4 linked regions of the Saccharomyces cerevisiae S288C genome follow. The protein of the gene in region 1 purifies or fractionates together with the protein of each later gene. This does not show direct contact. Each region holds a gene or a part of one and is shown in the gene's direction. Other genes may lie near its edges.

Region 1 (7,919 bases):
ACAGTTGACGTGTCTTGAATACTCATGTTTTCCAGGTTTTTGGATGTGTCAATTTGCTCCGCTTCTGATCTCGTTCTTTTCCTTGAGTTACTTTGCTCTGTTGTATTGTCAACTGCCGAAATATTAACAGTTGTTTTAGTCAATTCTGTGTTATTTCCATCAGTTATATCAGCAGCGTGTTCTATGGTGTCATTTGAAGATTTATTGAATGAATTCCCCAAAATAGACGAGTATTGGTCATTCGCAGTGTTGTTCTCATCTTTTGTCTGAGTTTCTGACCTTTCATTGATCTCTTCAATCAGCGAATTCAAATTATTCCTTAGCTTGTCCAGAGCATTTTTGCTAACATTGTCTAAATTATCATTTTCTGCAATATCGTCAGAATACTCAAGAAGTTCTTTCAAAGTAGAATAATCTTGTTCAGAAGAAAGAAATATAGCGTTTATATTAGTGATGATCATCTTCTTTATTTCTTTCTTCTCAATTTGAGCGTATATTTTGAGCACATCGATCAAGAATGTAAGCTGCACTGTATCTTTTTTTGTTGAACCTGTCTGGTTAACTAAGTTACGTGGATCAGTCCAAAATAGCAACTGTTGAAATATTATGTTAGGCTTTAGCATAGCTTCACGGTCTACCTCAGGTATTACAGAGCTCTGTAAATCGTCCCAAAGAACACATAGTCTTAAGAGTATGTCCGCAGCCGTCCTAGACATACGTTGTTGATGAGCAGGATGTGAAAAACAATAGACTGGAATGCAGAAGGCAAATGCCTGTACCAGCGCTTCGTTTGAGGAATTTATCGGCGAAAAATATGACAAAACCAACGTTTCAAACAAATCATCATCAGTGAACACGTCTGCCAAAAATAGTTTGCATAAACCCTCCGCTGCTATCACCTGACATTCCGGTAAACCGTTATTCTTTAAAACCTTGTAAAATATTTTGTGCAACGAGATTGAGTCAACTTTGCCTTCTCCGTCTACCACAGTGTTCCCATGTACGGAAAAAATATCTACAATGACTTGTAACGCAATATACTTTAATGATGCATTACCTTTCGAAACGCACATACCTAAGATGTACATGTTATCAATAGCCAACTTCACATCCAAGAGACAACATAAACCAAGGTTCTTGACACCAAGCTCCCTAATATTTGGCGCGGTATTTCTAACCGCTGGTGTGATCAAAGTGTCCATCAACGACGCAATTAAAATGTTTTCTGTTAACGGTGTGTTAACTAGTTCTAGCATATATGATGACCTTGTAAGACAGAGAACAATTGTTGCTGAGGACGCTTCCTTTTCGGGTGGGAGATTATTTATTATGTCACTCTCAGATACGTTGCCGTTTCCCTGCACTAAGTTTTCTACAGCAGAATGGAAGGATGAAATATTGTCGTCTTCTTCATCCTCGTTAACTTCGTCATTATGTGTGCCGTTTTCGTCCTCTTCATCGACGGAAGTCTCATTTCTGCGATTAATCTTCTTGCTTTTTATTTTCTCTTCTTGTTCTTGTTTTTCAATATCGTCGTCTCTAATATCATTAATGATTTCTATTGCCATTGTTACAAAATCTTTTTCATTTATGGACAGACTTTTCATTACACGAATACCAATTTTAATAAGAGGTTCGGAGAGTGTAGTTAAGGCCAGCATATTTCGTACCACTGTAAGCATCGATCTCCTTCCAACCTCATCGCTATAATCATACCTTTCGGCGGCAATCGATAGTTGCTCAATAATAAACTCTAAAGTGTTATAATCAAAATGCGACTGAGAGTCATTAGAAATGTCGTTGTGATGATATCTGAGAAGAATATAATGGTTTAAATGCTCGGATAATTTTGAGGCTTCTGGAAAGTTTTCTTCCAGCATTTCTGTTATATTATTATCCAAACAGTACAAATAAATAGCCCGAAAGAGGAAGGCAATTTCTACGGTAAAGTCTTTCCAAATACTTTCAGGAAATTTGATTTTAGATAATATATCTGGCCTTGATTGAAAAAGTGCTTCTATAGCCTTAACACACACTGAGGATCTTGAGACATCCAATTTTTCTAGTAATTCTATCAAATCGCCATCCAGAGCATTTAACCAATCATGAGCAATGAGTCTCTTACACGCATTTCTCACTGATAATTCCCTATCTTCTAAACCCCACTCAATCAATTGATCAAAAATATGCGGCTCAATATCATCGAAACACTTTCTTCCCATTGATTTCAAAATTCTCGAATACACGAGCCTTCTATTAACGATGTTTACATCTCTAGCCCTCTCCAAGATATACGGTCTAGTATTATTATCATTGATCAAATTCAGCATTGCAGCCCTCCGTACTTCAGCTGACGGATCGTTCTGGATAGAAGCAACTAGAGTTCTCGTAGCTTCAAAATTTTCTTCATTATCAGAAAGCTCAGTTAAATGTTCAGTTTGCTCTTCATCCTGAAATTTAGTTAAACAAAACACAGCCTGTATCCTAACCGTTGGTTCTCTATCATAAATCCTCTTATTTAAAGACAATATTAATAAATTGAAAAGTGATTCATCGATTTCCCCTATATTATCCATTATAACGGCTAATAACTGTAAAACTCTAAATCTGACGTTCTTGTCAGGGCTTTCCACACCACGCAAAACATGTCTTATGAACTGATCGACGAACCTTGAGAATATCCCTTCTTCATCATTCGTGAGCTTATAGTTTTGTTTTTTGGCCAATATCAACTCCCTTTCTAAAGAAGCTATAAATGCAGCTACTAACTTTACTATCCTGTCTCCGATAATCTCATTCTTTTTCAGAGGAAGGATCTTAGTAACTAATTTATCGAACCAAAAGTTAAAAGCATCTTCATAGCCTTGCTCAACAGCCTTTGACTGAATTTTCTTCAAAACTGCTATATGCTTCCTGTGTCCTGCATAAGAACCCTGTGCCTTTTGAAATACTTCAGCAACTGAGTTAAAGATTTTCGTATTAATGTCAATACCATCAGGATCTTGCATGATGGGCGCGGCCTGTTAACTTCTTTGTCTTATCCAAGGCTGTAGGCATTACTGAAGTGTTTTTGTTTGATCTTCAAAGAGCTAAAAAGGTAAACAAACACGAAGGCTCTACCCTTTCATATGCGGTGCACGGATTTTAAAAGTCGCAATAACTCAAGAATACGATAGATGCAATAAATCAGAGGTAAAGTGCTTTAGGCTAATACTATGAGCAATTCAGTATAACCTGCATTATCTCCTTGTTTTCCTTTGTATCCCCCATGATTTTTTTTTCTTGTTATTCCTCTTGATACCATATTAGGCAGGATTTTTTTCAAAAAACCAAATGAAAAATTTTCAGACTGACAAGAAAAAAGCTACGAATGAGCTCATCGCTACTTTCAGTTTTAAAAGAAAAGTCAAGAAGCCTGAAAATACGAAACAAACCGGTGAAGATGACCAGTCAGGAAAGGATGATAGTGCATAGATGCAGATTTGTGGATTTCACTCCTGCCACAATCACATCTCTAGCATTTTCACATAAATCAAATATAAATAAGTTAACTCCGTCCGATTTGAGATTAGCTATTGGTAGATCTAATGGTAACATAGAAATCTGGAATCCTAGAAACAATTGGTTTCAGGAAATGGTTATCGAAGGTGGCAAAGACAGATCAATTGAAGGCCTTTGCTGGAGCAACGTTAACGGCGAGTCTCTAAGGCTATTTTCTATTGGCGGCTCGACTGTGGTAACAGAATGGGATTTAGCAACAGGTTTACCATTAAGAAACTATGATTGCAATTCAGGTGTGATATGGTCTATTTCCATCAACGATTCACAAGACAAGCTGTCTGTGGGTTGCGATAATGGGACGGTGGTCCTCATAGATATCTCTGGCGGGCCTGGTGTCTTGGAACACGATACTATTTTGATGAGACAAGAAGCCAGAGTATTGACTTTGGCTTGGAAAAAGGATGACTTCGTGATTGGTGGTTGTTCTGATGGTAGAATAAGGATTTGGTCTGCACAAAAAAATGACGAAAACATGGGTCGTCTATTACACACTATGAAGGTCGACAAGGCCAAAAAAGAATCAACTCTAGTTTGGTCAGTTATATATTTACCAAGAACTGATCAGATTGCCTCTGGTGATTCTACAGGCTCCATTAAATTCTGGGATTTCCAGTTTGCCACGCTAAACCAGTCATTTAAGGCGCACGATGCAGACGTACTGTGTCTAACTACCGATACTGATAATAATTATGTTTTTAGTGCTGGTGTGGACAGAAAAATCTTTCAATTTTCTCAAAACACTAACAAATCTCAAAAGAACAACAGATGGGTAAATTCTTCTAATAGGTTGCTTCATGGAAACGACATTAGAGCAATATGTGCATACCAATCTAAAGGTGCAGATTTTCTAGTTTCAGGAGGTGTTGAAAAAACACTAGTCATCAACTCACTTACTTCTTTTTCTAATGGAAACTACAGGAAGATGCCAACTGTCGAACCTTATTCAAAGAATGTTTTAGTTAACAAAGAGCAACGCCTTGTTGTTTCATGGAGCGAATCTACTGTTAAGATATGGACAATGGGAACCGATTCTAGTACAGAACAGAATTATAAGCTAGTTTGCAAGTTAACTTTAAAAGATGACCAGAATATCTCAACTTGTTCTTTATCACCTGATGGACAAGTTTTAGTCGTAGGGAGGCCCTCTACCACTAAAGTTTTTCATTTACAGCCCGTAGGTAATAAATTGAAAGTGACTAAACTAGATAATGACCTATTATTGAGAACTTCCACAAAATTAGTCAAGTTCATCGATAATTCCAAAATTGTCATATGCTCTTGCGAAGATGATGTATTTATTGTGGATCTAGAATCTGAAGAAGATGAAAAACCGCAAGAAGTTGAACTTTTGGAGGTTACTTCAACTAAGAGCAGTATCAAAGTTCCCTATATTAACAGGATCAACCATTTGGAAGTAGACCAGAACATTGCAGTAATTTCTCGTGGCTGTGGAGTCGTAGACATATTAGACTTAAAAGCAAGGATTTCTAAACCACTTGCTCGTTTGAATAATTTCATCACCGCTGTTCATATCAATACTTCTAGAAAATCTGTAGTAGTAATTACTGCAGACAATAAGATTTATGAATTCAATATGAATTTGAATTCGGAAGCCGAGAATGAAGATAGCGAAAGCGTATTAACTCAATGGTCAAAAAACAATACGGATAACTTACCAAAAGAATGGAAGACATTAAAAGAGAACTGTGTAGGGATATTTTCAGACATAGAAAATAGTAGCAGATTATGGTTTTGGGGGGCTACTTGGATATCAAGAATAGACTTTGATGTTGACTTCCCTATAAATAAGAGAAGAAAACAGAAAAAACGTACACACGAAGGGCTAACTATCACAGATGAAAGTAATTTCATGAACGACGAGGAAGATGACGAAGATGACGATATTGATATGGAAATCAGCGAAAACTTGAATGTATTATTAAACCAAGGAAACAAAATAAAGTCCACAGATGTACAAAGAAACGAAGAAAGCTCCGGTCACTTCTTCTTTACTGATAAATATAAACCTTTACTGTTTGTTGACTTAATTTCTAGTAATGAATTGGCAATAATTGAAAGAAATCCATTAACTTTTCACTCCAAACAAAAGGCGTTTATTCAACCAAAGTTAGTGTTTTGATTAATTTAAGTCAACATACCGAAGAATAGAGAGATGCTATTAAAAGGCTATCATACTCTAAGGGCATTTTTCAGTTACAAAAAACTCTAATGGCGTTAGTACTTTATAGAAACTCGCTAATGTAAAATAGCCAAGCACATACGCAGACATATATATGTAGTAATCACGTATGCAGACATTAAATGTGAGCCATTTATTGGTATAAATGTATTCCTGAATTACAAAAGTACTGGCGATGGAATCACTCTGGCTATCACTGTTATTTCCAGGCAGGGTAATACTTTGGGAAAACAATAGAATAATGAAAACATATGATCAGTAGCTAAATTGACCGACCTAAAGAGCAAAGCCGGATCTCATGGTTTTTAAAGGGATATCACCGAATTTCCTGGCGACTTATCTATTATGGATCTTGAAAATGTTTCATGTCCCATTTGTCTAAGGAAGTTTGATAACTTACAAGCACTAAATGCACATTTAGATGTTGAGCATGGGTTTAACGATAATGAAGATTCACTCGGTTCCAATGACAGTCGTTTAGTCAATGGTAAACAAAAAAAGGCCAGATCTGTTGATAGCAGTGCGCAAAAGTTGAAAAGAAGCCATTGGGAAAAATTCAAAAAAGGGAAGAGCTGCTGTCACACATGTGGAAGGACTTTGAATAACAATATTGGCGCCATTAATTGTAGGAAATGTGGTAAACTGTATTGCAGAAGGCATCTTCCTAATATGATTAAACTTAATCTTTCCGCACAGTATGACCCCAGAAACGGGAAATGGTACAATTGCTGCCATGATTGTTTCGTCACAAAACCTGGCTATAACGATTATGGCGAAGTAATAGATTTAACACCAGAATTCTTTAAGGTACGAAATATAAAAAGAGAGGACAAAAACTTAAGGCTATTACAATTAGAAAATCGGTTTGTCCGTCTAGTTGATGGTCTGATTACACTCTATAACACATATTCTAGATCCATTATTCATAATTTGAAGATGAATAGTGAAATGTCCAAGTTAGAACGTACAGTTACTCCATGGAGAGATGATAGAAGTGTACTCTTTTGTAACATATGTTCCGAACCATTTGGGCTATTACTAAGGAAGCATCACTGCAGATTATGTGGTATGGTTGTTTGTGATGATGCAAACAGGAACTGCTCAAACGAAATAAGCATAGGTTATTTAATGTCTGCAGCGTCAGATCTGCCATTCGAATACAATATACAGAAGGATGATTTACTTCATATTCCTATATCCATAAGATTGTGCTCGCACTGTATCGATATGCTATTTATTGGCAGGAAATTTAACAAGGACGTTAGAATGCCGCTAAGTGGAATATTTGCTAAATATGATAGCATGCAAAATATATCCAAAGTAATTGATAGTCTCCTGCCCATTTTTGAAGACTCATTGAATAGCCTGAAGGTGGAGACTGCCAAGGATTCTGAAAATACACTTGATCCAAAGAATCTGAATGATCTCGCTCGATTAAGACATAAATTACTCAATTCTTTTAACTTGTATAATACACTAACAAGACAGCTCTTAAGTGTAGAACCTCAAAGTCATCTAGAGAGACAACTTCAAAATTCGATCAAGATAGCTTCCGCTGCATACATAAACGAAAAAATCCTACCGTTGAAGTCGCTTCCGGCAATTTTGAACCCAGAGGGCCATAAAACGAATGAAGATGGGCAAAAAGCTGAACCAGAGGTAAAGAAATTATCGCAACTAATGATCGAAAACTTGACCATAAAAGAAGTGAAAGAGCTGAGAGAAGAATTGATGGTCCTAAAGGAACAAAGCTACCTTATTGAGTCCACAATTCAGGACTATAAGAAGCAGCGTAGATTGGAGGAGATCGTCACACTTAATAAGAACTTAGAAGAATTGCACTCAAGAATACATACCGTTCAATCGAAGCTGGGTGACCATGGGTTTAATTAAGACATATCTTTATTATTCGATCATTCGCGGAATCTCCACGCTAATTGGTCCGCGGAGCCAATCAGATCTATTTAAGGGTATAAATTTTTCTTTAGTTTTTTTGACTTTTCACACAGAAATTTTAGATAAAAGGAAGTATTATATCGGAACATAACGTATATAGGAACTAGCTGAGTGAGTTAAAGGATGTCGACAGTTAATGTTTTGAGATACTCTGCGTTGGGTTTGGGGCTATTTTTTGGTTTTAGAAATGATATGATTTTGA
Region 2 (8,492 bases), on another chromosome or scaffold:
TAGAAGATAGGGTGACCACGTCAAAAGAATATACCTAGGGAACCAAACAATGCGAAGTTAACAACCCATCAAAGTATTTTTAATAGTGAGTGGTTCAATAGAAAATTAGAAGTCTGTTCATTTAAGCGCGCTACATCCCATCTTCTAAATGAGGATCAAAACCTGTATTGTCCGATGTACTATTGCCAAAAAGTCCGTTAGATGGCATATTATCACTATTTTGCCCATGTGAATCCTCTTGATGAGTTTGAGTGTCTTCAGTAGCAGATGCAGCTGATGAAGGATGCTGAGATAAATTTTGTTCCATAATAGTTGACGAATTTGGAGATTGAGAGAATTTTTTCTTTGCCTTGTAGATTTTCTCCAAGTTACCGGTCACTTTTATCAAATAGTCAGGCAATGGTTTGCCACTCTTCAAGTATTGTAATTTCCAATTACGGGCTTTATCTTTCAGTTGTACCTGCGTCCTGTTCTTCAAATTTTCCGTGATTTTACCACCGGGACCATATAAATCTAGAATCTTAGACCACGATGGGCCAACCTCTTTCAGGCCTTCCACTAATGCTTCTTCTTCCTCTTTGGACCAAGTTCTTTTCGCCTTTGGTTTTCTTAATCCGATACTACCATTATTGTTGCTGTTACTGCTGTTGTTATGAGAGGAATGAGGACCAGAGCTGCTGTTGCTCATCGAGGCCGCAACAGCGGCATCCACAATGGATTGTGTGATAGCGGGGTTTTTGGAAGACACATCTGTGGTAGGTGTATGTGTGCTGTAATGATTCGGACGAGCAGTTGACAAAAAAGCAGACGCACTGCTTGGCTGATTTTGGTCGTCCATGAATTCTACGGTCCTGGTCCCTGTAGAAAAGAGTACTTGAGGATCAAACTCGTTGACATCAAAGTCATATAATGGTGATTTTCCGCGACCCTTTCTGCCCCATATGATGAGACCCATATTTTTATTACAATAATCCAGCAACTCTCTGATAAATTGAGCCCATTCGTAGCTCTGGGTCAGAGAGTTAAAATCTTGGACGATCTTTAAATTTTCTCTCCGACGATCGCACCTTTCGACGAAGTCCTTCTCCGATGGAGTCAAAAGTGTAATGTCTCCAGAATCGCCGGTTCTTCTCTGCACGAGAATATCAGCCAGATTGGATGGGAAGATTAAGTCTAGTAGCTCTTGTTTCTTTTCTAAAGAAATTTCGTTCGTCTCGTCCTGAAACTCTTTCAAGCCGGCAATGTAAGCCTGTGTTTTCAGATCAAGATATAGGATAGCCTGCGATTTCAAAAACTTTCCGCTTTGTTCCAGGGAGTTGTTACCGACAGTGTTTGTATTTGGACAGAAAATATCGAGAAATATCGACTGTAGCAGCTCAAACCCGTAATTAAGGCAGTTCAGCGACGTCAATAGAAATGTTAGCAGATTCGCCTTTCTTATGGCAGTAATAATAAACGCTTCGTGGCCTCTCAATATAAGGGGGGGAGGGGAGTTGGGAAACCATAAACCAGGCGCCACGTCGTGAACAGACAGTAACGGAGATCTGGTGTGGTAAATCATTCTGATCTGCTTAAAGAGCTTGACTAACGTTTGAAAAATTTCTGTTTCGCCTGAGCTTAGGAAAGCCGTCTGGTCCGTCAAAACCGCTATAATATTGGGAGAGTTGGCATTAAGGATAAGAAACCTCAGTAGTTGAGTGGAGATATTGTCCAGCAGACATAATGAGCATATGGTCAACCTAGTTCTTGCAGGCAGGCTTTGGATGATGTCATTGAAGCGGTTTAAGCTTTCGTTATTATTGGGCACTTGCGAATCCATGACAAATGGGGAAAGAAGTGAGTAAAGAAAAACTAATGTAAAATGATTTCTGTCGCAGATGGGACAGCCACAATCTTAAATGTTGGCAAGGATATAGGAGCAAAACGCCAATATTGAGATGATTGTTTATTATAATGTTTACAAGGAAGGGCAAAGCATTGAGGAAAATTAGTCGGAATGAGGTCTCGCCGGGCTTCTACGGAAAGGGGCGAAAATTAATAGGGCACGGTGCAGAATATTAGGGCTTCAAATGTTCAGATTTTAAAGCCTTTTCTTCAAATACAATAATTAATTTTACACACTGTACCTTGCATATATAAGAGAAGAGAAATTTATAAACAGTATAGTTAGTTAGTTAAGAATGGAATTTGAATAAAATCATAAAGGAGATATTTACCGAATAAGTAACAAATAGAGAAGGGAGAGATTAAAAAATGAAAATTTACAGTACCGCCAACAAACACTTGAATAAGATTGAAAATTAGAGAGAAAAAAATTTAGAAATAATACAAAATACTAATAGTGATGGGACACAAAAATGAAGAAAGAAAATAGGTTTGATAGTATTGCTATCACCATTGACATTCTCGTTTGGATATTCACTTTTTACGTGGAGAGTTTGACCTTCTTCTTGTTTAGTTTAATAATGCCGGAGGGGCCCTTTGGTTGCACTAACTCGCCGTTTTCAACACATTTCTTGATAGCGCTATTGAACAGATAGTCAAAATTTGAGCTTGTTTTCAACTTGGAGGAGAAAGTGTCCTTGACATACTTCTTTAAAACGATACGGCTGGAGCCCTTACCGTCATTAAGTTGAGGCATGCTTTTAAGGATCATTTCCTTGTAGGTCAATGAAGAAGGCGAAGAGGCCTTCTTGGCGGTAACAGTAGGCGATTTTTTTTTCACTACTTTCTTTGGCGCTAGCTTCGTGGATGCGGCTTTCGCTTTTGATGCGGTTGCACTCACAGAAGTGGCGGCTTGCTTGGGTTTTGGACTGACCTCTTTTTCTTTCTTTACTTCTGGAGATTTCTTCTTGGCCAGTTTCACAGCACCAGCGGGTCCCTTTGGCTGTTCAAAATCGCCGGCCTCCACACCCTTCTTTATGGCATTGTTGAAGTACAAATCAAAGTTGCTTGCGGATCCGACGATCGGGTAGTTTTCCTTGATAAACTTCTTGAGTGCCGGACGACTGGATCCCTTACGTTCCTTCAAAGCCGTGAGCCCTTCAATGATCAACTCCCTGTAACTCTTGGAGGAAGCTTCCTCCTTTTTTGCCGTGGTTTTCTTGATAGCGGCCTTGGAAGTTGATTTCTCCTTGCCTTTGCTGGTTGCAGGCTTCTTGCCCTTACTTGTGGTCTTGGTAGTGGATTTCTTGGGTGCCATGTTGCTTTAGTTGTATTATAATTGCTTCCCTCGCTGCCAAGCATTATCAGGTGCCCATAAATAACAACTCCCCAAATCTATAGTTGCTCCTCCTCTTTAAATAAAGGCAGATAAACAAAAAACTTTGACCGCCCGCTTTTCCACACAAAAAACAAACAACAGCAGAAAACGCGACGCGAAAATGAAAAGCCAAAGAGAACAAACAAAAATCATCCATCAAACCTGTTATTGTGCAGAATAGCTTTTACCTAGACGCAAGTCCCTAGGAGGGGGCATTTTTGACACAGAATAGCATTTCATCAAAGCAAACAGCAACTTCTTGGAGATTTGTATTGCTTGGCATGTCAAAATCTAGCGGTCACATCAGTAGGGTAACAAAATAGCACGTCAGGGTTAAGGCGGCCTACTGCTTAGGGTACGTGGTAAGTGATGTAAAATGTGAGAAGGAGAAACTAGAAAAAAATTTTCCTTTCTTTTTCCTAGCGATGAGATGAGATGAAATTTTTCGAACAAATGATTTTTGGCACAGTTTACATATCAGTTATATTGGCTGTCGTCACAGGAACTACAAGTACAAACCAGAACCATTTTAGCTGATCACCAGAATGACGCAATCCCTAGGTATCGAACAGTATAAACTGTCAGTCGTATCTGGTGGGAAACCCGCTTTGAATAATCTCAGTTCAGTAACCGGCAATAAGAATATCGCCCGCCTATCACAAGACCAACGAAACTATATTATACCCTTTAACAATCAGATCAAGGTGTATTCTGTGGAAACTAGACAATGTGTTAAGACTCTAAAGTTTGCAAATAACTCCTTGTTATCCGGAATATTTCTGCAAGAAGAAGAGAATAATGAATCGATTGTAAAGATTCTGCTGGGTGATATAACCGTTCCGCAACAAGAAGACGCTCATCTGATTACCGTATTCACCAATAATGGTCATGTAATTGTTTTAAATTATAAGGGGAAGCTGGTCGAGTCCCCTAAGCATTTCAAAATCTCTTTGGCAGATGAAAAGCTTGCAAATGTTTTCCATAGCGAGGGCAACTATAGAATTTTGACAACGTTCAAGGACCCTAGTCAAAAGGCACATAACTCTTTGCAATCGTACAGGTTATATGCATTAACCTTTGACGATGCTAAAAAGCAATTTGAAGTGGCTCATCAGGCAGAATGGCACAACGTTATCTTGTCAAATATTTCTTCCAATGGTAAACTGCTAGCGCATATGTGCAAAGACGTCTCAACAAAAGATCACGAACACAAATCCATCTCAGTTGTTTCGCTTTTTGATGATTCTGTAAATTTAAGCTTTCCCCTCGGTTCCATCCTTTCTTCACAGACTCAATCCCTATCCTATAACACAAGGTACGTTTCTAGCATGGCCATAGACAATATGGGTCAACAACTGGCTGTTGGATTTGCCTCCGGAGTTATAAGTATCGTAAGCCTGGCCGATCTACAAATAAGACTGCTCAAATGGCATATAGACTCTGTGCTGTCACTCTCATTCTCTCACGATGGATCCTATTTGCTATCTGGTGGTTGGGAAAAAGTTATGAGTTTATGGCAATTGGAAACAAACTCTCAACAATTCCTGCCTCGTTTGAACGGTATTATAATCGACTGTCAGGTATTGGGACCTCAAGGGAACTACTACTCTTTAATCCTACAAATGACTGAAAACAATTCAAATTCTGACTACCAATTTTTACTTTTGAATGCTTCTGATTTGACCTCCAAATTGTCGATTAACGGGCCATTACCGGTGTTCAATAGCACCATAAAACACATTCAGCAACCAATCTCGGCCATGAATACCAAGAACTCCAACTCAATTACCTCTCTCAATCACTCTAAGAAGAAACAATCTAGAAAACTAATTAAATCGAGAAGACAAGATTTCACCACTAATGTAGAAATAAACCCTATTAACAAGAACTTGTATTTCCCACACATTTCTGCTGTTCAAATTTTTGACTTCTATAAAAATGAGCAAGTTAACTATCAGTATTTAACATCAGGTGTCAACAATTCTATGGGTAAAGTTAGATTTGAACTGAATTTACAAGACCCAATAATAACTGATTTGAAGTTCACCAAAGATGGGCAATGGATGATTACATACGAAATTGAGTATCCGCCAAATGACCTCTTATCTTCCAAGGACTTAACTCATATCTTGAAATTTTGGACCAAAAACGATAATGAGACAAATTGGAATTTGAAAACGAAAGTAATAAATCCACACGGGATAAGTGTCCCAATTACCAAGATATTGCCTTCACCAAGATCAGTTAATAATAGTCAAGGCTGTTTAACGGCTGACAACAACGGTGGACTGAAATTTTGGTCCTTCGACTCTCATGAGAGCAACTGGTGCTTGAAAAAAATTTCTTTACCAAACTTTAATCATTTCAGTAACTCCGTTTCTTTAGCTTGGTCTCAAGACGGGTCTCTAATATTCCATGGTTTCGATGACAAGTTGCAAATTTTAGATTTCGACACTTTTAAAAAGTTTGAATCATTGGAAAATACAAAGACGGTCAGTGAGTTCACGTTAGACTCTGAAATCCAAACCGTCAAGTTGATTAATGACACAAATTTAATAGTGGCCACCAGGACTACATTAAACGCCATCAACTTATTGCGGGGTCAAGTCATAAATAGTTTTGACTTATATCCGTTTGTTAACGGAGTGTATAAAAATGGTCACATGGATAGGCTTATTACTTGTGACGAAAGGACAGGCAACATTGCCCTGGTTATAAATCAACAACTAACTGATCTCGATGGCGTACCAACTATCAATTACAAATCCCGTATTATTATATTCGATTCTGACTTATCTACAAAATTGGGTAATTTTACGCATCATGAATACATATCTTGGATTGGTTGGAATTATGATACTGATTTCATATTTTTGGACATAGAATCAACACTAGGTGTTGTCGGAACCACTGTGAATACTCAACTATCTGATGAAGTTAATAACGAAGGAATATTGGATGGCCTGGTAAGTAACACCATCACAACTTCGGCATCCAATAGCGATATTTTTGCAGAACAATTGCATAAACTGTCGTCTAGGGGCAAAAAAAGTGACACTAGAGATAAAAATACCAATGATAACGACGAAGATGAAGAAGATATCGCTTTGGAATTTATAAATGGCGAAAAGAAAGATAAGCTAGTCAATATGAATAGTTTTACGAGCATGTTTGACAACATTCAAAACGTGCAAATGGATACATTTTTTGATCGTGTGATGAAAGTATTAACATAGCTTTAGGGTTCTTCCATTGGATATCCAAAATAGATATAAAGGTATATATATATATATATATATATATATGTTTATAAAGCAAACCGAAAGCAAAAATATCTGTATAACTTAGTTACAAGGGAAGGGAAGAGAATGCATTGGTTAATAGGAACAGACACTTCGTAAAAAGCTTCACAATCATTAATGTTAATAGAACTATCATAATATACAAAAAATCTCTTCATACGATTTTTGTTTGATGAGCATCCTCAGTCAAGATGAATAAAATAATCTCTCCAAATAAGCCGCCTCTTTTTTTTTGAATTACACTTCTATAGCGTACATTTCCATGTAAGAAGATTGAAGTTTCAAACAATTGGGTAGCTTAATATTTGTCAAACTTCTTGGTAGGTGTTGTGTTTAAGAAAAAGGAGGCACCATAAACTATTAACTTTTTAGCTTGCCTCAACTGTCAACCGAATCAAATTTTAAAAGGCGTTAAACAAAAATGGCCTCGTCTCTTAACGAGTTAAACTTGGTTCAAGTACTTGAACAAGCAAGTAACCCACAACATATTAGGTCAGATGTTCAAAAATTAGCCGAACAACAACTAAGACAATGGGAGACTCAAGCGGGATTTCATTACTTATTACAGTCAATCTACCTTAATTTATCTAATTCTTTACAAATTAGATGGTTGGCGGTAATTCAATTTAAGAACGGCGTGGATAAATACTGGAGATCCACTAGAATTAACGCTATACCTAAAGATGAAAAAGCCTCGATAAGAGGTCGTCTTTTTGAAATGATCGATGAACAGAATAATCAACTTTGTATTCAGAATGCCCAAGCTTCCGCAAGGATTGCAAGGCTAGATTTTCCCGTAGAGTGGCCAACCTTATTTGAGGATCTAGAAAACCTATTGAACGATGAGATCATCAGAAAAGATTCAGTTAAGATTTACAATATATTGATGCATATAAATCAAATCGTTAAAGTATTAGGTACTGCGAGAATAGGAAGGTGCCGACCCGCTATGCAAAGTAAAGTTCCTTTGATATTACCACTAATTGTCAGGATTTATTTACAATCATTTGAAGAATGGACGACATCCTCCAATCTCAACTACGAGGATCTTTCCAGTTTACAAGTTTCTTACCTAGCTTTGAAAGTGCTCAGAAGGATAATTTGTGAAGGATACGACCGCCCTCAAACCGATCAGTCTGTTTGCGATTTTATTAAACTATCCGTTTCACACTTTGAGATGTTAATTTCAAACCATGAAAACTTCAAAAAGTTTGATATTTACGAAAAGTTTATCAAATGCCTAGGAAAGTTATATTTCAATTTAGTCACTGGCTCTCCGGCTAATTTCATATTACTGCCATGCTCTACGCAAATTCTAATCACTTATACTAGGCTAATTTTCGATAAGGCCCCTAAAGTATATAGAGAGAATTCTGATGTCACGGGGGACTTTTGGGAACAGACTGCTATTAGAGGGCTTTTAATTTTGAAAAGGGTCATTAATTTCATTCACAAAAAGGGGGCAATTACGTTAAAAGCAAGAAGTGATAAACTAACCATAGATGCTTCTATCAACAAAATCAACACAGAATTTCTGAATGAGAATTTGATAACAAGGTTGGTTGACACTTTAATGGAATGGTACTTGAGGTTAAGACCAACTGAATTAGAAAATTGGTTTATGGATCCAGAAGAATGGATAAACGAACAAATGGCCACGAGTTACGAATATCAAATCAGACCATGTGCAGAGAACGTTTTTCAAGACTTAATGAATACTTTCTCTGAGCTGTTGGTTCCCTACCTGTTAAAGAAAATTGAAAATGATGCTTCAAAGCTATCAAACTCATTAGACGATTTTTTAAGGAAAGACGCAATTTATGCAAGTTTCCAATTAAGTGCATCCGCTGTTAGTGAAATGGTAGATTTTGACAGGTTACTAATTCAGGTTTTTTTACCAGAAGCTACAAATACAAACATATCAGGCG
Region 3 (8,308 bases), on another chromosome or scaffold:
TATTATTATTGGTGGCCGTGGCGGTCGTGGTGTCTGAAGAGAGCGAGAACAACGTGTCTCTGTTGGAAGAAGGACTTGGAGAGCCACGTGCACTATTCACCATGACGGGCGTAGATTCAAGATCATTCAGAGGGATGGTGTCAACCGGACGGTACTCCTTTTTCGATGCTAATGAGACGGGGACAGAAAGCACCGCAGCGAAGAAGTGAACAAGCATAAAAACGAGAAGTAGCACAGAAGTGGTGCCATAGATATTATGCGCATACCAGTCTTCTTCCGGGAAAGTATTTTTGAACACGGACAATGCCATTACGGACGAAATACAAATGCATAGATTAACAAACAGCAGGGGTAAGTACCACCTAGAACGGGCGGCGCTTAGCGCCAGGGACACAGGGTAGAGCACAAATGCAACCAAGAGCAGCGTAATAATGTGGTAGCGAAGGGCAGACCTATTCCCAGCCTGTGTAGTAAAGTAGGTTGTGGTGTTGTAGTTTTCCCAGTACAATCTCTCCGCAGGGGTAAGCGAGGGCGATTGCAGTATAGGAAGGCCATGCAAATGTTTTGGTTCATGTGGCACGGGGACGATTGAAGCCGTGGATGAGACATCTATGGATTGAGACGTTGTCGTATCGATATTCATGTCCATATCCATGTCCATATCCATGTCCATGTCCATGTCATCATGGGCCGTGACAAGCGTCGCCGCGCAGCCGAATAAACTTAAAATTGAAACAAAACGCACCATTACTCTCACTATTTTGTTTTTGGTTGGGGTATTAAGAGTACAATGCAAAACAAATACTAGCGAATTATACAATAGACAAGACCCTTGCAAGTATTCTTATAGAGCGCAGTGTCTACCGCCGCTGCCACTCCCCTTATAACCAAAACGGTCCGCTAAGAGCCGGTAAAAAAAATCCGGAACAAAAAAACCGCGAAGAGCTCCGTGGAAAAGAAAACTGTGACCGGTGGCAAAAATATCGGTCTTCGGCGGCTAATTTGCCGTGCTTCGTCGTAACTGATTTTTCTATATCATGGATCGTGCTTCTTAGTTATTCTCGTGTCGTGAAACCTAGATATAAGTTTTCATCTATATAGTGAACATTGCAATATGCAAGATATGTTGCCTTAGTTCCGTTAGTTGCCAATACATGAACTGTATGCCCGCAAAGATGTGCGGGAAATTCTTTACAAGGTAGATATGTATTTAGAAAAGAGAAAAACCAAGGGTGTATAGTTTCGTACTATGAAAATCGAAGTTTTAAGCGGCAAAACACTTGTGTATAGATAATTGTAGTATTATTGTGGTATTTGGTATTTGCAGTATTTTCTTGGCGCTACGATGTGCTTTTTATTTTTGTTTGTTTTATTCTCCTATAGAGTAAGGAGACCTTATATTGTTTTTCTCTTGGTAGAAAGTTGACGCGCGAAGAAAAACATAAAAAAAACTGACAAGATACTACTATTATTAACCATATACACGGAAATACCCACAGAGTATACAAACACACATATATATATATATATATATATAATTTTAAAGATAAATTAGAAGTGTTCCCTTTCTCTTTTCTCAGGACCGGTCGTATCCCTCCGGTAGTTCATCAACCTCTACAACAGGGATCTGTACTGAACCTACCGCTCCCTGTGCCAGCTCTAGACGATATTGCAATTTGGATCTGATAGCTACATGCTCTGCCGTTGAGGTGTACCGCAGTCCTTGCTGGCACATTTGAATAGCCTGTGTATATTCACCCAGTTTGATCAGCGCCATGGCTTTGTTGCTGTACCCGACCGGGTTCTGCGGTTGAGCAGTAATTAGTTGGTCATAACAGTGCACAGCCTCGCGATACAGGCCCTGTTTGAACAAAGAATTGCCCTGTTCCTTCTGCTTTTCAAATTGGCTCATGCTCTTTACCGTTGCTCTCTCTTTCGCAGTGCTGAAAAGAAAAAACCGTTCAAGAAAATTGCGTCTTGTGCAGTCATATACGCTGGGATATATATATATATAGATATATATACATATATATAGGAATATGTAACAAGAAAAAAAAAAGAGAGAGGAAAGAAAAGCTCAATGGATGACGATCACGAACAGTTGGTCGAAGAACTGGAGGCCGTCGAGGCCATCTATCCGGATCTTCTCTCCAAGAAGCAGGAAGACGGAAGCATCATCGTTGTGAAAGTGCCGCAGCATGAATACATGACACTGCAGATCTCCTTCCCGACACACTACCCCTCCGAGGAGGCTCCTAATGTCATCGAAGTTGGTGTCTGCACTTCTTTGGCTAAGCGCGATCTCTACGATACCAAGTACCTTCAGCATTTGTTCCAGGAAGTGATGGACTCTGTTTTCCACCGCGGATCTGTCTGTCTATTTGACTTCCTCACAGAACTCGACGGTGTCTTGTACGTTGAACCAGAGGAGGAGACAGAACCGGTCCAGCAGAGTGACATTCCCACAGACCCCTTCGAGGGCTGGACCGCGTCGGACCCCATTACTGATAGAGGCTCGACTTTCATGGCCTTTGCAGCACATGTTACCTCCGAGGAACAAGCGTTTGCCATGCTAGACCTACTGAAGACCGACTCCAAGATGCGTAAGGCAAACCATGTCATGAGTGCATGGCGAATCAAGCAGGATGGCTCTGCGGCAACATATCAAGATTCCGATGATGACGGTGAAACGGCCGCCGGCTCCAGAATGCTGCACCTCATCACCATCATGGATGTGTGGAACGTCATCGTTGTGGTGGCCCGTTGGTTCGGCGGTGCCCACATAGGTCCCGACCGGTTTAAACACATCAATTCTACGGCAAGAGAAGCTGTTGTCAGGGCCGGCTTCGACTCGTAATCATTATGATTATGTCAAGCACCTGTAACCTTGATCACATGCGACGGGAGTTCTTTTTGAAATTTTTTGGAAAAATTTTGCGATGAGCTGAAAGATGAAAAAAAAAAAAGTTTCGAGTATAGTTCTAGGTATGTACAATAACTAGTATAATATCAATAATAGTAATAATAGTATCGTTTTCAACAGGTAGACAGGAGAGCAGACCGCAGATTGAACCGCATCCCAATGAAATCCGATTTCAAGTTCTCTAACCTTTTAGGTACGGTCTACAGGCAAGGTAACATCACCTTTTCCGATGATGGCAAGCAACTACTCTCACCGGTGGGGAATAGGGTCAGCGTGTTTGACTTAATCAACAACAAATCGTTCACGTTTGAATACGAGCATCGCAAAAATATTGCTGCCATTGATCTGAACAAACAAGGCACATTGCTGATTTCTATTGACGAGGACGGTCGCGCCATCCTTGTCAATTTCAAAGCCCGTAACGTGCTTCACCATTTCAACTTCAAAGAAAAATGCTCCGCTGTGAAGTTCAGCCCTGATGGGAGACTCTTTGCATTAGCCTCAGGCAGGTTTTTACAGATTTGGAAGACTCCAGATGTTAATAAAGACAGACAGTTTGCTCCCTTCGTCCGCCATAGGGTGCATGCGGGACACTTTCAAGACATAACGTCTTTGACGTGGTCACAAGATTCCAGATTTATCCTTACGACTTCCAAAGACTTAAGCGCAAAAATATGGTCCGTAGATTCAGAGGAAAAGAACCTTGCGGCGACAACATTTAATGGGCACAGAGACTACGTTATGGGTGCGTTCTTCAGTCATGATCAGGAAAAAATCTACACTGTAAGCAAAGACGGTGCTGTCTTTGTCTGGGAATTTACCAAGAGGCCATCCGATGACGACGACAATGAAAGTGAAGACGACGACAAGCAAGAAGAAGTAGATATTTCGAAATACAGCTGGAGAATCACAAAGAAACATTTTTTTTACGCAAACCAAGCCAAAGTAAAGTGTGTCACCTTCCATCCAGCAACAAGGCTTTTAGCTGTCGGATTTACTAGTGGGGAATTCCGTCTTTACGATTTGCCTGATTTCACTTTGATTCAACAGCTTTCTATGGGGCAAAACCCAGTCAACACCGTTAGCGTCAACCAAACCGGCGAATGGCTGGCGTTTGGTTCCAGCAAACTGGGCCAATTACTAGTTTACGAATGGCAATCGGAATCGTATATCTTGAAGCAGCAGGGCCATTTCGATTCCACAAATAGTCTTGCATACTCTCCGGATGGTTCACGTGTAGTGACAGCATCCGAAGATGGGAAAATCAAAGTTTGGGACATTACATCAGGGTTTTGTTTGGCCACTTTTGAAGAACACACCTCTTCAGTTACTGCTGTACAGTTTGCGAAAAGGGGTCAGGTCATGTTCTCATCATCGTTAGATGGTACGGTGAGAGCGTGGGACTTAATCAGGTATCGTAATTTTAGAACATTCACTGGTACTGAAAGAATCCAATTCAATTGTTTAGCGGTGGATCCATCAGGTGAAGTGGTTTGTGCCGGGTCCCTGGACAATTTTGACATTCATGTTTGGTCCGTGCAAACTGGTCAATTATTAGATGCTTTGTCCGGACATGAAGGCCCTGTTTCGTGTCTTTCATTTAGTCAAGAGAACAGTGTCTTAGCTTCTGCATCATGGGATAAAACAATTAGAATCTGGTCCATATTTGGTAGAAGCCAACAAGTAGAACCTATAGAAGTTTATTCCGATGTTTTAGCCTTATCAATGAGACCAGATGGTAAAGAAGTTGCAGTATCTACCTTAAAGGGTCAAATATCCATTTTCAACATAGAAGATGCCAAGCAGGTGGGCAACATTGACTGTAGAAAGGATATAATATCTGGTAGGTTTAATCAAGATAGGTTCACTGCCAAAAATTCTGAACGATCCAAATTTTTTACTACAATACATTACAGTTTTGATGGTATGGCTATTGTGGCTGGTGGTAATAATAACTCCATTTGTCTATATGATGTTCCAAATGAAGTCTTGTTAAAAAGATTCATTGTGTCCAGAAACATGGCTTTGAATGGTACTCTCGAATTTTTAAACAGTAAGAAAATGACTGAAGCAGGTTCATTAGATTTGATTGACGATGCAGGCGAAAATTCAGATTTGGAGGATCGTATTGATAATTCTTTACCAGGGTCTCAAAGAGGTGGCGACCTGTCCACAAGAAAAATGAGACCAGAGGTTAGAGTTACTTCGGTGCAATTCTCCCCAACGGCGAATGCATTTGCCGCTGCTTCAACGGAAGGTTTATTGATATATTCCACCAATGACACGATATTATTTGATCCCTTTGATCTGGATGTGGACGTCACCCCCCATTCTACTGTAGAGGCGCTACGAGAAAAGCAGTTTTTAAATGCATTAGTAATGGCGTTCAGGTTAAATGAAGAATATTTGATCAATAAAGTCTATGAAGCCATACCTATTAAGGAAATCCCCTTGGTTGCAAGTAATATTCCTGCAATATATTTACCGAGGATTCTGAAGTTCATCGGTGATTTTGCCATTGAATCCCAACACATTGAGTTTAACCTAATTTGGATCAAAGCTCTATTATCTGCGAGCGGTGGTTACATAAATGAACACAAATATCTCTTCTCGACGGCTATGAGGTCGATACAAAGATTTATTGTTAGAGTGGCTAAGGAAGTAGTCAATACCACTACTGATAACAAATACACCTATAGATTTTTGGTATCAACTGATGGGTCCATGGAAGATGGCGCGGCTGATGATGACGAGGTTCTATTAAAAGATGACGCAGATGAAGATAACGAAGAGAACGAAGAGAACGATGTAGTCATGGAATCTGACGACGAGGAAGGATGGATTGGTTTCAATGGGAAGGATAACAAATTACCCTTGTCTAATGAAAATGATTCCAGTGATGAAGAAGAAAATGAGAAAGAGCTTCCTTGAAAAATATTCACTGTCCTCTATTTATGCACATTCACATCATGTATTCCCCAAGTATAGAACTATATAAAGCATTACATTTGTATTTAATATCAACAAAAAAAAATATCATCGCCAATATCGATATACATCATGATGAGAGCGCCTAATATAAACTGAGGCTACCATTACGGGAGTCGTCCTTTGACTGACGAGGCTATTTTCCTTATATATAAGGCATCATCGCTTCAGTAAAAAAAAAAATAGGAAGGGAAAAAATGAAGAATTGATGGGATGAGGAAAAAATTTGACACAAATTTATCGACTACCGTTTCATACTATCATCGGGAGAACAATTACACTAAGCCTTATAAAATTATTGATTCATCAAAAAAGAAGATAACTAAATAACAATGCCTATGAACAATTTTCTAGATGAATTCAATTTATTTGATTCAATCATTACCATGATGAAGAACGACCCATGTTGCGTCGAGGATTATGAGCCAATCGTCGAAAACCTGAACCGTATATTTCAAAGGACGTTTAATGATGAAGAACATAGGAAATCAATGGCTAACTCCCAGCTTTTTTGGGAACGATTAAGAGACACCTTGGAAGCAATGCTGTTGCCAGCGTCGTTAAATGAGAATAGCTCAATACCGTATACAAGAACAGTGAGGGGCCTTATCTTAATGATGAGAAACCTTGCCGCTGAAAACCAGGAAATACCCCAAAAGCTTTTACTACAAAACCTCGTAATTCGTGGTTTTCTGCATGCAACTAGTGAGTATGTCGTTGACACTCCGCTAATCAAACATCTATACATCGCATGTTTAACGTGCCTTTTCAATATACAGCAGAACTACTCTACAGTGGATATGACTACTTTTCCAGCTCTTTTACAATTTCTTCAATACCCTTATGGGATCAAATTGGAAGACGGTGAAGAAGAAGAGCATTTCTGGCTACCATATTTATTTCTTTTCAAGACGTATCTCAACAATGATGAATTTTCCAACGAATTTTTCAGGGATAATGATACACCCCAGAAAGACTATTATTGTGTTAGGGATAGAATATTTTTCGATATAGTGACAGCCAAATTCATCCAGGATCAAGAGAATTCCTTTTTAATTGAGAAGGGCAGAAACTATCTGGATGATTCAAAATTGGAAATAACTTCTATTGACCTATCTGTCTTAGAATGTATTAGCAAAAGTCTTACAACTGCTTCTTTTGGTAAATACCTCAATGGGTTAGAAGAAAGACAGCCAGGAAAATTCACCACTTTGTTGCAGATATTGCAATTGGTTGTAACGAGTAAAGAAGATTGGAATACCTATGAGTTGACTGCAATTATGTCATGGTGCTACCCCATTCTGCAACGTCTTGCATGCAAGGATATTCCTGCCTTTTTCAATAAAAGTTGTAACGATTATGCTCCTTCAGTTGCCATCCAATTACACTCCACTTTACTTTCTTGCCTGGACATAATTTCTGACTTGTGCAAATTCAATCATGTTAGAAAATTCTTAATTTCGTATGACTCTGTGAAAATATTGGTATCTCTCTTGGATACTTTCCAAAAGAATTTGTTGAGGATTAATTTTTTGAAAGGAAACGGTGATACGGTGAATGAAATTAAAATCACAGATCATGAAGGTAACAAAATCGAGGACCGGTTATTAATTTTCAACCGTGTTAATACCAACGAATCCTTTATTAGGGCTGATAATTTTCCCCATTGTAAATTAGTAATAATCGAAATATTGGCATCGTTAGTGTATGCACATCCTGAAATCCAAGATCAAATAAGAGAATTAGGTGGTCTTGCATTAATTCTTTCCAATTGTGTCATCGATGATAATGATCCGTTTATCAAGGAAAGATCTATTGTTTGCTTGAAGTTTTTGTTAAAGAATAATGCCAAGAATCAGGAATATGTCAAAAAAATGGAAGCTCAAGACGTTGTTCAAGACGATGCATTGAGCAAAGCTGGGTTTGAAATATCAGTTGAAAAGGGCGGGAAAGTTAGATTAGTATCTAAAGAAGAAGACCCTGGGAACGAGAATTCTGAGATTATTAGCATAGATGAAGATTAATTTTATGGTTCCTTACTCTCGCAATCATGATTCACTTTGATTAACATTAAGGATAATCGTACTTCATACTCTCTATTAATTATAGAATTCTATATGTTATATAAGATAAAATATATTCATTAAAAAGGAAGATCTTATAATTTCATTTTAGCAAGTTCTTCTTCAATAGCGTTTTTGACCAATTCAACGTCAGCTCTTTCGATGAATTTTAATTTCTTCTTTAATGTGGATAGTTTCTTCAATTCCTCAGGCAAAACATCCTTTTCAAATGAATAATTGGAAAATCCAGACAATGCATTGTTTACAGCATCGGCAAATTTAGCTGGGTGAGCGGTAGATAGAGAAATGTATTGGATGGACTTGTCATTATCTT
Region 4 (8,390 bases), on another chromosome or scaffold:
TTAGTTTTGGGTTACTAAATTAAAAATTGGGTGTGATCACTAATCTAATGTCTTGTTAACGGAGGTAGATGATGAAGATCCGGACGAGGCAGGACGTTTCAACTTCTCAACAGATACCGACTTTCTTCTGGTTTTGCGTTTCTGGAAACTCAAGTTGGGGCTCGTAATGTTTACTGGTGTAAATTTCGGAGGCATAATGACCCTGGTAAATTTGTTTCTCAATTTCTGTTGAACATAGTCCATATCCAAATGCTTCGTCAGGGAAATCTTTGGAATACAACTAATATAATGCCTGTCATCTAATTGAACATCTAACGGATCTTGAGTATGACACCCAGGAGACATTTTTAGTCTAATGGAATGCGATTTTTGACCAGAAGCATCCGTACTCTCATAAAGTTCAAAAGTGATCTGCGACAAGTAGTCTAGTTCTGGTAAAGCATTTCTAGCGATTCTCATTGGAATACCAGATTCGTATATGATATTCAATAGAGTGTAAATATGGGACTCTTTGGTGAAGTACGCAACACAAGCTGGAGTTTCTCTATTTTTCATGTCTCCTATATCATTTAGTATTTGCTTTGCCAAAGGCAACGAAGTTAACAAACCGATATCCAGTTTCTCTGCATCTGAAATACCATATTCTTTGGGGCAGATAAAATCAAACAATACTTTGGCCAGCTTATACAGCTCCCGCAACTGCATAAAGCGTGGCTCATCGAATTGAGAAGAAGATTTGGGGTTTCTTGCTGTAGATGTTTTTCCGCTTTCCAGAACCCATCCTAACGACCCAACACTATTACTACTGTTCTTTCCAGAATTGTTCATGCTATGACTGTCTATTATCTTAAAATTATTTTTGGCGAGAACGTTAATTGGGTATCGGTCAACTAAAGAATGACTGCCGAGTTCATCGGCGATAGCTTCATTTGGAAGACCCGGGTCAAATATGTTCTCTAGGAACTGCCTGTTGTGAAGAGCATCATACTTCATAGTATCATACAATTCAGAAATTTTAGAAGGATCGACTTTTTCAGCATTATTGAATTCTTTGAAAAGTTTATCCCACCTTTCCTTAAACAAACTAGGATCTTCAGAAGTACACCATCTTGTTTGCATCGAGTTGACATCCTTTTTAGCAAAGTTGTTATCCATAATTTTTTTATGGTAATTCATCAATTCAACCACTCGCTTTATGACTAAATATGGCTCCGGCATCTTTGAAGGCCAGGCAAATTGTGGGGGAGCTTCCTTACCCTCTCTTAAAAGTGGCTTCAACTTCTTTTTCACCTTATCCATTAAATCTTTGGCGGCATTACTGTCATCTAAAAGATCCTTTCTAATACTGATTTCATCGCTACCTAATTCATCGGCCCCAAAAAGAGCTCTGGTCCAGTACTGCGCCGTATGAAGAACACGTCTCTCAGACGATGAAAATATCTTGATGTTTTGTAGAATGCTCTTATTCAATAGGTCAAAATCTTGTCTCATTTGCTCTCCGAGTTCCGTAGCCTGATATTTGGCAGAATGAGTGGGTTCACCACCCCATTTCAAAATAAACTGAACTTTTTCCACTTCGTTCTCTTTATTTAAAACCGGTTTCAATTGTATTTTCGTACCGGGAAAATTCAGTTTCTTTTCTAGAGCGTTTGCTAACACTTTAATTTTAGCTGGATTTCCTGCTTTTTCATCTAACGCAATTCTTAAGGCCTGAAGAACAATCTTTAAATCATTTACATTCCGAATGACAACTTCTTCTTTGTGACCTTTTAGTAACGATATAAAAATAGGCGAAGTGAATGAATGTTTGAATTTCTGTTTTGGTGTTCTGTCCGCGTGACGGATAATGATAGCCAGTCCTTTGAATACCCACTTTTGTTCCTTTTCTTCACGAATAATGGGCAGATTCTTCTTTTCCATATCCATCTTCTTTTTGGCTTCAATGAAGGTACTTCTCAATATATTGGCGCATGAATCATAGTAAGCTTTGTTATCCTTTACAAAAGAAAATCCGTTAACATCAATGACGTAACTTTTACCAGAAACGCGAAGCAAATCGAAACCACAGATCATTTGTGAAAAAGCTTTGGAAACTTTCCCAGCAATGGTTTTCTCTTCGTCTGATAACTCAGTAATATATCTAACTTCTTTACCATGAGTATTTCTTCTAACTATACCATCAACCACAGGTGATTTCCTAGTTTCAGCGTGACAAAAGTTCTCACCAATCGTATAAGCCTTCACATCTTCGAAATTATCGGTATCCATAAACTGCTCATAAATGTAAGACCCCTCCGTACGAGGATGAACCAAAGTAGGATCAAACTCAGAAGACTTGTTACCAACTTTACGGAATAGACGACGACCGCCTCCTCCGTTCTTAGAATGATAGTATATATAAATGTTGTGGTCTTCACCATCAACGGGCTTTTCAACAAAGGGCTTAGTCATGGTTTTCCCATCAACTTCTAAAGTATCATCATCAACCATTTTCCATTCCGGTTCTTCAACGGGTTTAACTTCTACGCCATGCTCACGTAATTTTGCCCTTAATTCTTCGTTGGCACGGGGACCACCATCTCTACTGATTTCCAGTCTAGGAGGTGTTGGAACGTTGTAGGCTTCTAATACTTGTAGACATAATCTCCTGTCCCACAAAATCTTTTGCATTATTAAATCATTGATAATGAAAGGCTTGCGTAACTTGACGTATTTAATTGCTTTATCTAGGGGAAATCCTGAAGAAAAGAAAGATATCAAAAAGTCGCAAGTTGGCCAATTCTCTATTCTTTCATCTAGAATCACCTTATCTCCAAAAATGACAGTTTCAAATTCACCATGTTCAATTAAACGATTCAAAATGTGTCTCATTGGCTTTGAAAGGACTTTTGCATCCATTGCACATACCCCAATCTTCCCTACCTTGGGTAGCCTAGGTTTGGGATGACTAGTCGAGGATTTGCGTGAAGAAGCTGATGAAGTAGGTACAGAGTTAGTTCCCATGTTAGTCTGCTCAGCGTCCATTGTTCCTTGAGGTAAATGGGGCGATCCGGTCTTGGAGATGGAATTTATGTTATCTGCATCATTGACTATGTTAGAATTGCTGAGCCCCTCAGGATCAGCTTCTGACTTTGATTCACTGTCTGCCTTTTTTAAACCGGAAGTTGTAACTGTATTGGTGTTGTTTCCGTTTCCTAGTGCAGTGCTTATGGTTCTTTGCAGAGTATCATGCACGGTGAGATTCTCTTCACTGTGATCATCTTGAATACCGGGAGGTGGCAATTTCAAAGACATATTTTCGCTAGCTGACGTCTTAGGACTGAAACCCTCCAATATTGGTGCAATAGATTGCATAGCCTTCTGTGTGTTTTTGTTTAGGAAAAGGGGTGACATCTCAGAAGGTGCACTAGGTAAGTTATTTTTTGTCTCTTGTTGAGGAACCTCATCAGATTCAATCGGTTCCTTCTTTATCCCACTCATGACCTTCTGCAATATATTAATATGCTACGAGATGCTTTTGAATTTGTATGAAATGCTCAGTGGGTAATTTAAGTGGTGAACATATTGATTCAATGATTAATTGCATTTTTCCTATCTTAAATAAATGATTTTCTAAAAACATTTTTGAGCACGTGCTTTTTTTTTTTTAACTGAAAAATTTTGAGAAAAATTTCGCGATGAGATTGCTAATGAAATTTAATAAGTCCTAAGCACAATAAATATACAGCGAAACAGCAGCAAGGAATAAGACACTGAAAAGGCTATAGCGAGTTAGGAATAGTACATTATGTCTATCGACTTGAAAAAAAGAAAAGTCGAAGAAGACGTAAGAAGTAGAGGGAAAAATTCTAAGATATTTTCCCCTTTCCGGATTATTGGTAATGTTAGCAATGGTGTTCCTTTTGCTACTGGTACATTGGGATCTACCTTTTACATTGTAACGTGTGTTGGTAAAACATTTCAGATATATGATGCGAATACCTTACATTTACTTTTTGTTTCCGAGAAAGAAACACCATCCTCAATTGTAGCATTATCAGCACACTTTCACTACGTCTACGCAGCATATGAAAACAAGGTTGGTATTTACAAGAGGGGTATTGAGGAACATTTGCTTGAGCTAGAAACTGATGCAAATGTCGAACATTTGTGCATATTCGGAGATTATCTTTGCGCTTCCACCGACGACAATTCCATCTTTATATACAAGAAGTCCGATCCGCAAGATAAATATCCATCAGAATTCTACACTAAACTTACCGTTACTGAAATTCAAGGTGGCGAAATTGTGTCTTTACAACATTTGGCAACTTATTTGAATAAATTAACTGTCGTTACCAAATCTAACGTTTTACTTTTTAACGTCAGAACCGGGAAGCTTGTATTCACATCAAACGAATTTCCAGACCAAATCACAACTGCTGAACCCGCTCCAGTCCTGGATATTATTGCTCTAGGTACCGTGACCGGTGAGGTTATTATGTTTAATATGAGAAAAGGTAAAAGGATCCGCACAATTAAGATTCCGCAATCAAGAATCTCCTCATTGAGTTTCAGAACCGACGGTTCTTCTCATTTGAGTGTGGGAACGAGCAGTGGTGATCTAATATTTTATGATTTAGATCGCCGTTCAAGAATACACGTTTTGAAGAACATTCATAGAGAATCGTACGGTGGTGTCACTCAGGCTACTTTTTTAAATGGTCAACCCATTATTGTTACATCAGGTGGTGACAATTCCCTGAAGGAGTACGTTTTCGATCCGTCATTATCTCAAGGAAGCGGTGATGTAGTTGTTCAACCGCCAAGATATCTACGTTCCAGAGGGGGTCATTCTCAACCACCTTCATACATTGCGTTTGCTGATTCGCAATCACACTTCATGCTATCAGCATCCAAAGATAGATCATTATGGAGCTTTTCTCTGCGTAAAGATGCACAGTCGCAAGAAATGTCACAAAGGTTACACAAGAAACAAGATGGCGGCAGGGTAGGTGGTAGTACAATTAAGTCTAAATTTCCTGAAATAGTGGCTCTTGCAATTGAAAATGCCAGAATAGGTGAATGGGAAAACATTATCACTGCACATAAAGATGAAAAGTTTGCAAGAACCTGGGATATGCGAAATAAAAGAGTTGGCAGGTGGACTTTTGATACTACTGATGATGGATTTGTTAAATCTGTGGCCATGTCGCAATGTGGTAATTTTGGATTCATCGGTTCTTCTAACGGCTCTATCACCATCTATAATATGCAAAGTGGTATACTCCGTAAAAAATACAAATTGCACAAAAGAGCAGTCACCGGTATATCCTTAGATGGTATGAATCGTAAAATGGTTTCTTGTGGACTAGACGGTATTGTTGGTTTTTATGACTTTAACAAGTCAACCTTGTTGGGAAAATTGAAATTGGATGCACCTATTACCGCAATGGTTTATCATCGTTCTTCCGATCTATTTGCATTGGCTTTAGACGACTTATCAATTGTTGTTATTGACGCAGTTACTCAAAGAGTTGTTCGTCAATTATGGGGTCATAGTAATAGAATAACTGCATTTGATTTCTCACCTGAGGGCCGTTGGATTGTTTCCGCTTCTCTAGATTCCACCATTAGAACGTGGGATCTTCCAACCGGAGGATGTATCGATGGTATCATAGTAGATAATGTCGCTACGAATGTAAAGTTTTCTCCGAATGGTGACTTGCTTGCCACTACCCATGTTACTGGTAATGGTATATGCATCTGGACGAACAGAGCACAATTTAAGACAGTATCGACAAGAACCATCGATGAGTCTGAATTTGCAAGAATGGCGTTACCTAGCACATCTGTTCGAGGGAACGACTCGATGTTATCAGGGGCTTTAGAAAGCAATGGAGGAGAAGACCTAAATGATATTGATTTCAACACTTATACATCATTGGAACAGATTGATAAGGAGCTGTTGACTTTATCAATAGGACCTAGAAGTAAAATGAACACATTGCTTCATTTAGATGTTATCAGAAAACGTTCTAAGCCAAAGGAAGCTCCAAAGAAATCAGAAAAGCTTCCATTTTTCTTGCAACTATCTGGGGAAAAGGTTGGGGATGAAGCCTCTGTCAGAGAAGGCATAGCACATGAAACACCAGAAGAAATCCATCGCAGAGATCAAGAAGCACAAAAGAAGTTAGATGCAGAAGAGCAAATGAATAAATTCAAAGTTACAGGAAGATTAGGGTTTGAATCACATTTCACAAAGCAATTACGAGAGGGCTCACAATCCAAGGACTATTCATCATTGCTGGCCACTCTAATAAATTTCTCACCTGCTGCAGTGGATTTGGAGATAAGATCATTGAATTCCTTTGAGCCATTTGATGAAATTGTGTGGTTTATCGACGCGTTAACACAGGGGTTGAAGAGCAATAAAAATTTCGAACTTTATGAAACGTTTATGAGCTTACTGTTTAAGGCACACGGTGATGTTATTCATGCTAACAACAAGAATCAAGATATTGCCTCTGCTCTTCAAAATTGGGAGGATGTACATAAGAAGGAAGACAGATTAGATGATCTTGTGAAGTTTTGCATGGGAGTGGCAGCTTTTGTGACCACCGCGTGAGCATTATATAGAACAAGTATATTAGTAACAAAGGCAGATTGTATATTTTTCTTTTTCCTATGATGTTTTTTGAGAGGGTAACCAAGAATTATTTATTGGGTTTGTTGCAGTGTTCTTAAAGGGTCCCTCCCACATTTAATAAATGATCGACAATAAATAAATGTTCCTTACATTCTCAATGTGTGTGAACTGGATAATCGTAAAAATGCCAAACAGGTCTGAAGAACTTGACCGATTACTCGACAAAATAATCAACTCTCCGCATAGAACAGAAGCCTCGAAGACTTTGCAAGAAATTGAAAATAATCAATCATATATTTTAAATGTACAGTTGAAGAAGTTATTGCGACTTCATGACGACTCATTTAAAAATAAGTGTGTTTCTCCTATTAACTATATGTTGGAAAAGTACACTCCGTATATGGGGCATACCGAAGCATTACAAAAGGAAGCAGAGCTTGTGGATAGGGATCTCCGAATCCTTGAAATGACGTACCAACTGATAGAAAAGAATCGCAACTCGAAATAAAACGATAAATATATTCAATGTTTTTAAATTAGTACTATTATTATATGTTATTATTAATGGAATGAATCAATACGTATTTTATACAGAAATAAGATTTGAGAAAGAAGGGTAAGAAAAAAAAGAAGAATAAGTAAATGACGAAGTTCTTTAACTGAGTTAAAGTTGTGTAATGCAAATTTGAAGAAAGGAAAAGATGCTATAAGGCAAAACAAAAAGGACGTCGACACTCAGTCATGGCATGCCCTTGGCAGCATTAGCCCACTTTCTCGTTTCCGTCCAGCCTGCATTTATGACTTGTAAAGCATCTTCCAGATTTAGAGGCTCTCTCAATGGCTTATCATCTACCACCAGTTTCTTGTAAACTCGAGCATAATATTCCTGAGGTATAGCTTGGAAAATCTCCCTTCGAGTAACTCCGTCATTATTGGCGCTTTCACTTTGCTCAGTGGGTTGTGTCCAGAGTTGTCTTCTTCGTTTCCAGATTTTCTCAGCGTTACAAAACGGCGCCTTACTTTTCTGTGCTAATTTTATGCGTTCCTCCACTACGTTATAGTTTTCAAAGTTCTGCGTAGACTTCTTCGAATTCGATAGAGTATGCGAGGCGGTTGTGGTCGTGTTATTAGCAGAGCTAGATTCCTCACTCTCATCTGTGAGCTTCATCTCCAATGTACTATTGACACCTCCTCCTACCTGCGACATAGAAGCACCACTATCTCTGTCTATACCCTTGGAGGCTACGACGGCAGGCTGAGACACAGTAAACAGAGCCTCTATTTTTTCATCGCTTCCACTAGAGTCATCGATACTACTCAACGTTTCGTGGGTAATTTTCTTTAAAGTTTCTTTCCATTTTTGTAAAGTATGTGTTAAGGTATACTTAATATTCTTTTTTGGGGTCTTGGAAGTAGAAACAGTCATAATAAACCGTTAGCTTTTGAATACTGTATTTCTTTTACTAAACTGATCGTACAAAATTATTCGGGTTTTAACGACCTTAATGGACAAAAATATGTGACAAGCTATATTGAAGTACCAGCGGAAGAGTAGCTAAGCACTAGCGTTTGTTGTTAGAGTATTCCCTGTTTTTATAAATATTCCAAAGAATTATACAACACACTTTTTTGCGACCAAAGAATAAGCAGAAAAAAATAATAACTCCGATGGTTATTTCTATTGTTTACTAAAGTTCAATGCCTCTATCACTCATGCATCGTTTCATTTTAAAGTTGAAAAATGTTAGCAAGAAAAAAAAAG

Evidence for each region.
Region 2: the proteins of UTP4 (region 1) and NAN1 purify together in Saccharomyces cerevisiae (affinity purification with mass spectrometry; 7 studies listed by BioGRID). This does not show direct contact.
Region 3: the proteins of UTP4 (region 1) and PWP2 purify together in Saccharomyces cerevisiae (affinity purification with mass spectrometry; 7 studies listed by BioGRID). This does not show direct contact.
Region 4: the proteins of UTP4 (region 1) and UTP21 purify together in Saccharomyces cerevisiae (affinity purification with mass spectrometry; 5 studies listed by BioGRID). This does not show direct contact.

Annotation. Positions count from the first base shown.
Region 1 is NC_001136.10:1,112,215-1,120,133, reverse strand, and holds UTP4 (small subunit rRNA maturation protein UTP4), read left to right. Parts: upstream 1-3,370; coding exon 3,371-5,701; downstream 5,702-7,919. Other genes in the region: condensin subunit YCG1, read right to left, coding at 1-3,008; PEP7 (phosphatidylinositol-3-phosphate binding protein), read left to right, coding at 6,107-7,654; TIM11 (F1F0 ATP synthase subunit e), read left to right, coding at 7,841-7,919. UniProt on the Saccharomyces cerevisiae protein: Involved in nucleolar processing of pre-18S ribosomal RNA. Required for optimal pre-ribosomal RNA transcription by RNA polymerase I together with a subset of U3 proteins required for transcription (t-UTPs).
Region 2 is NC_001148.4:306,403-314,894, forward strand, and holds NAN1 (Nan1p), read left to right. Parts: upstream 1-3,807; coding exon 3,808-6,498; downstream 6,499-8,492. Other genes in the region: TBF1 (Tbf1p), read right to left, coding at 131-1,819; HHO1 (histone H1), read right to left, coding at 2,426-3,202; karyopherin KAP120, read left to right, coding at 6,986-8,492. UniProt on the Saccharomyces cerevisiae protein: Involved in nucleolar processing of pre-18S ribosomal RNA. Required for optimal pre-ribosomal RNA transcription by RNA polymerase I together with a subset of U3 proteins required for transcription (t-UTPs).
Region 3 is NC_001135.5:218,003-226,310, reverse strand, and holds PWP2 (snoRNA-binding rRNA-processing protein PWP2), read left to right. Parts: upstream 1-3,082; coding exon 3,083-5,854; downstream 5,855-8,308. Other genes in the region: TVS1 (Tvs1p), read right to left, coding at 1-748; TAH1 (Tah1p), read right to left, coding at 1,577-1,912; YIH1 (Yih1p), read left to right, coding at 2,081-2,857; CTR86 (Ctr86p), read left to right, coding at 6,244-7,935; threonine synthase THR4, read right to left, coding at 8,070-8,308. UniProt on the Saccharomyces cerevisiae protein: Required for bud-site selection and cell separation. Also involved in nucleolar processing of pre-18S ribosomal RNA.
Region 4 is NC_001144.5:932,631-941,020, reverse strand, and holds UTP21 (rRNA-processing protein UTP21), read left to right. Parts: upstream 1-3,787; coding exon 3,788-6,607; downstream 6,608-8,390. Other genes in the region: inositol polyphosphate kinase VIP1, read right to left, coding at 40-3,480; BLS1 (Bls1p), read left to right, coding at 6,768-7,136; GAG1 (Gag1p), read right to left, coding at 7,368-8,054. UniProt on the Saccharomyces cerevisiae protein: Involved in nucleolar processing of pre-18S ribosomal RNA and ribosome assembly.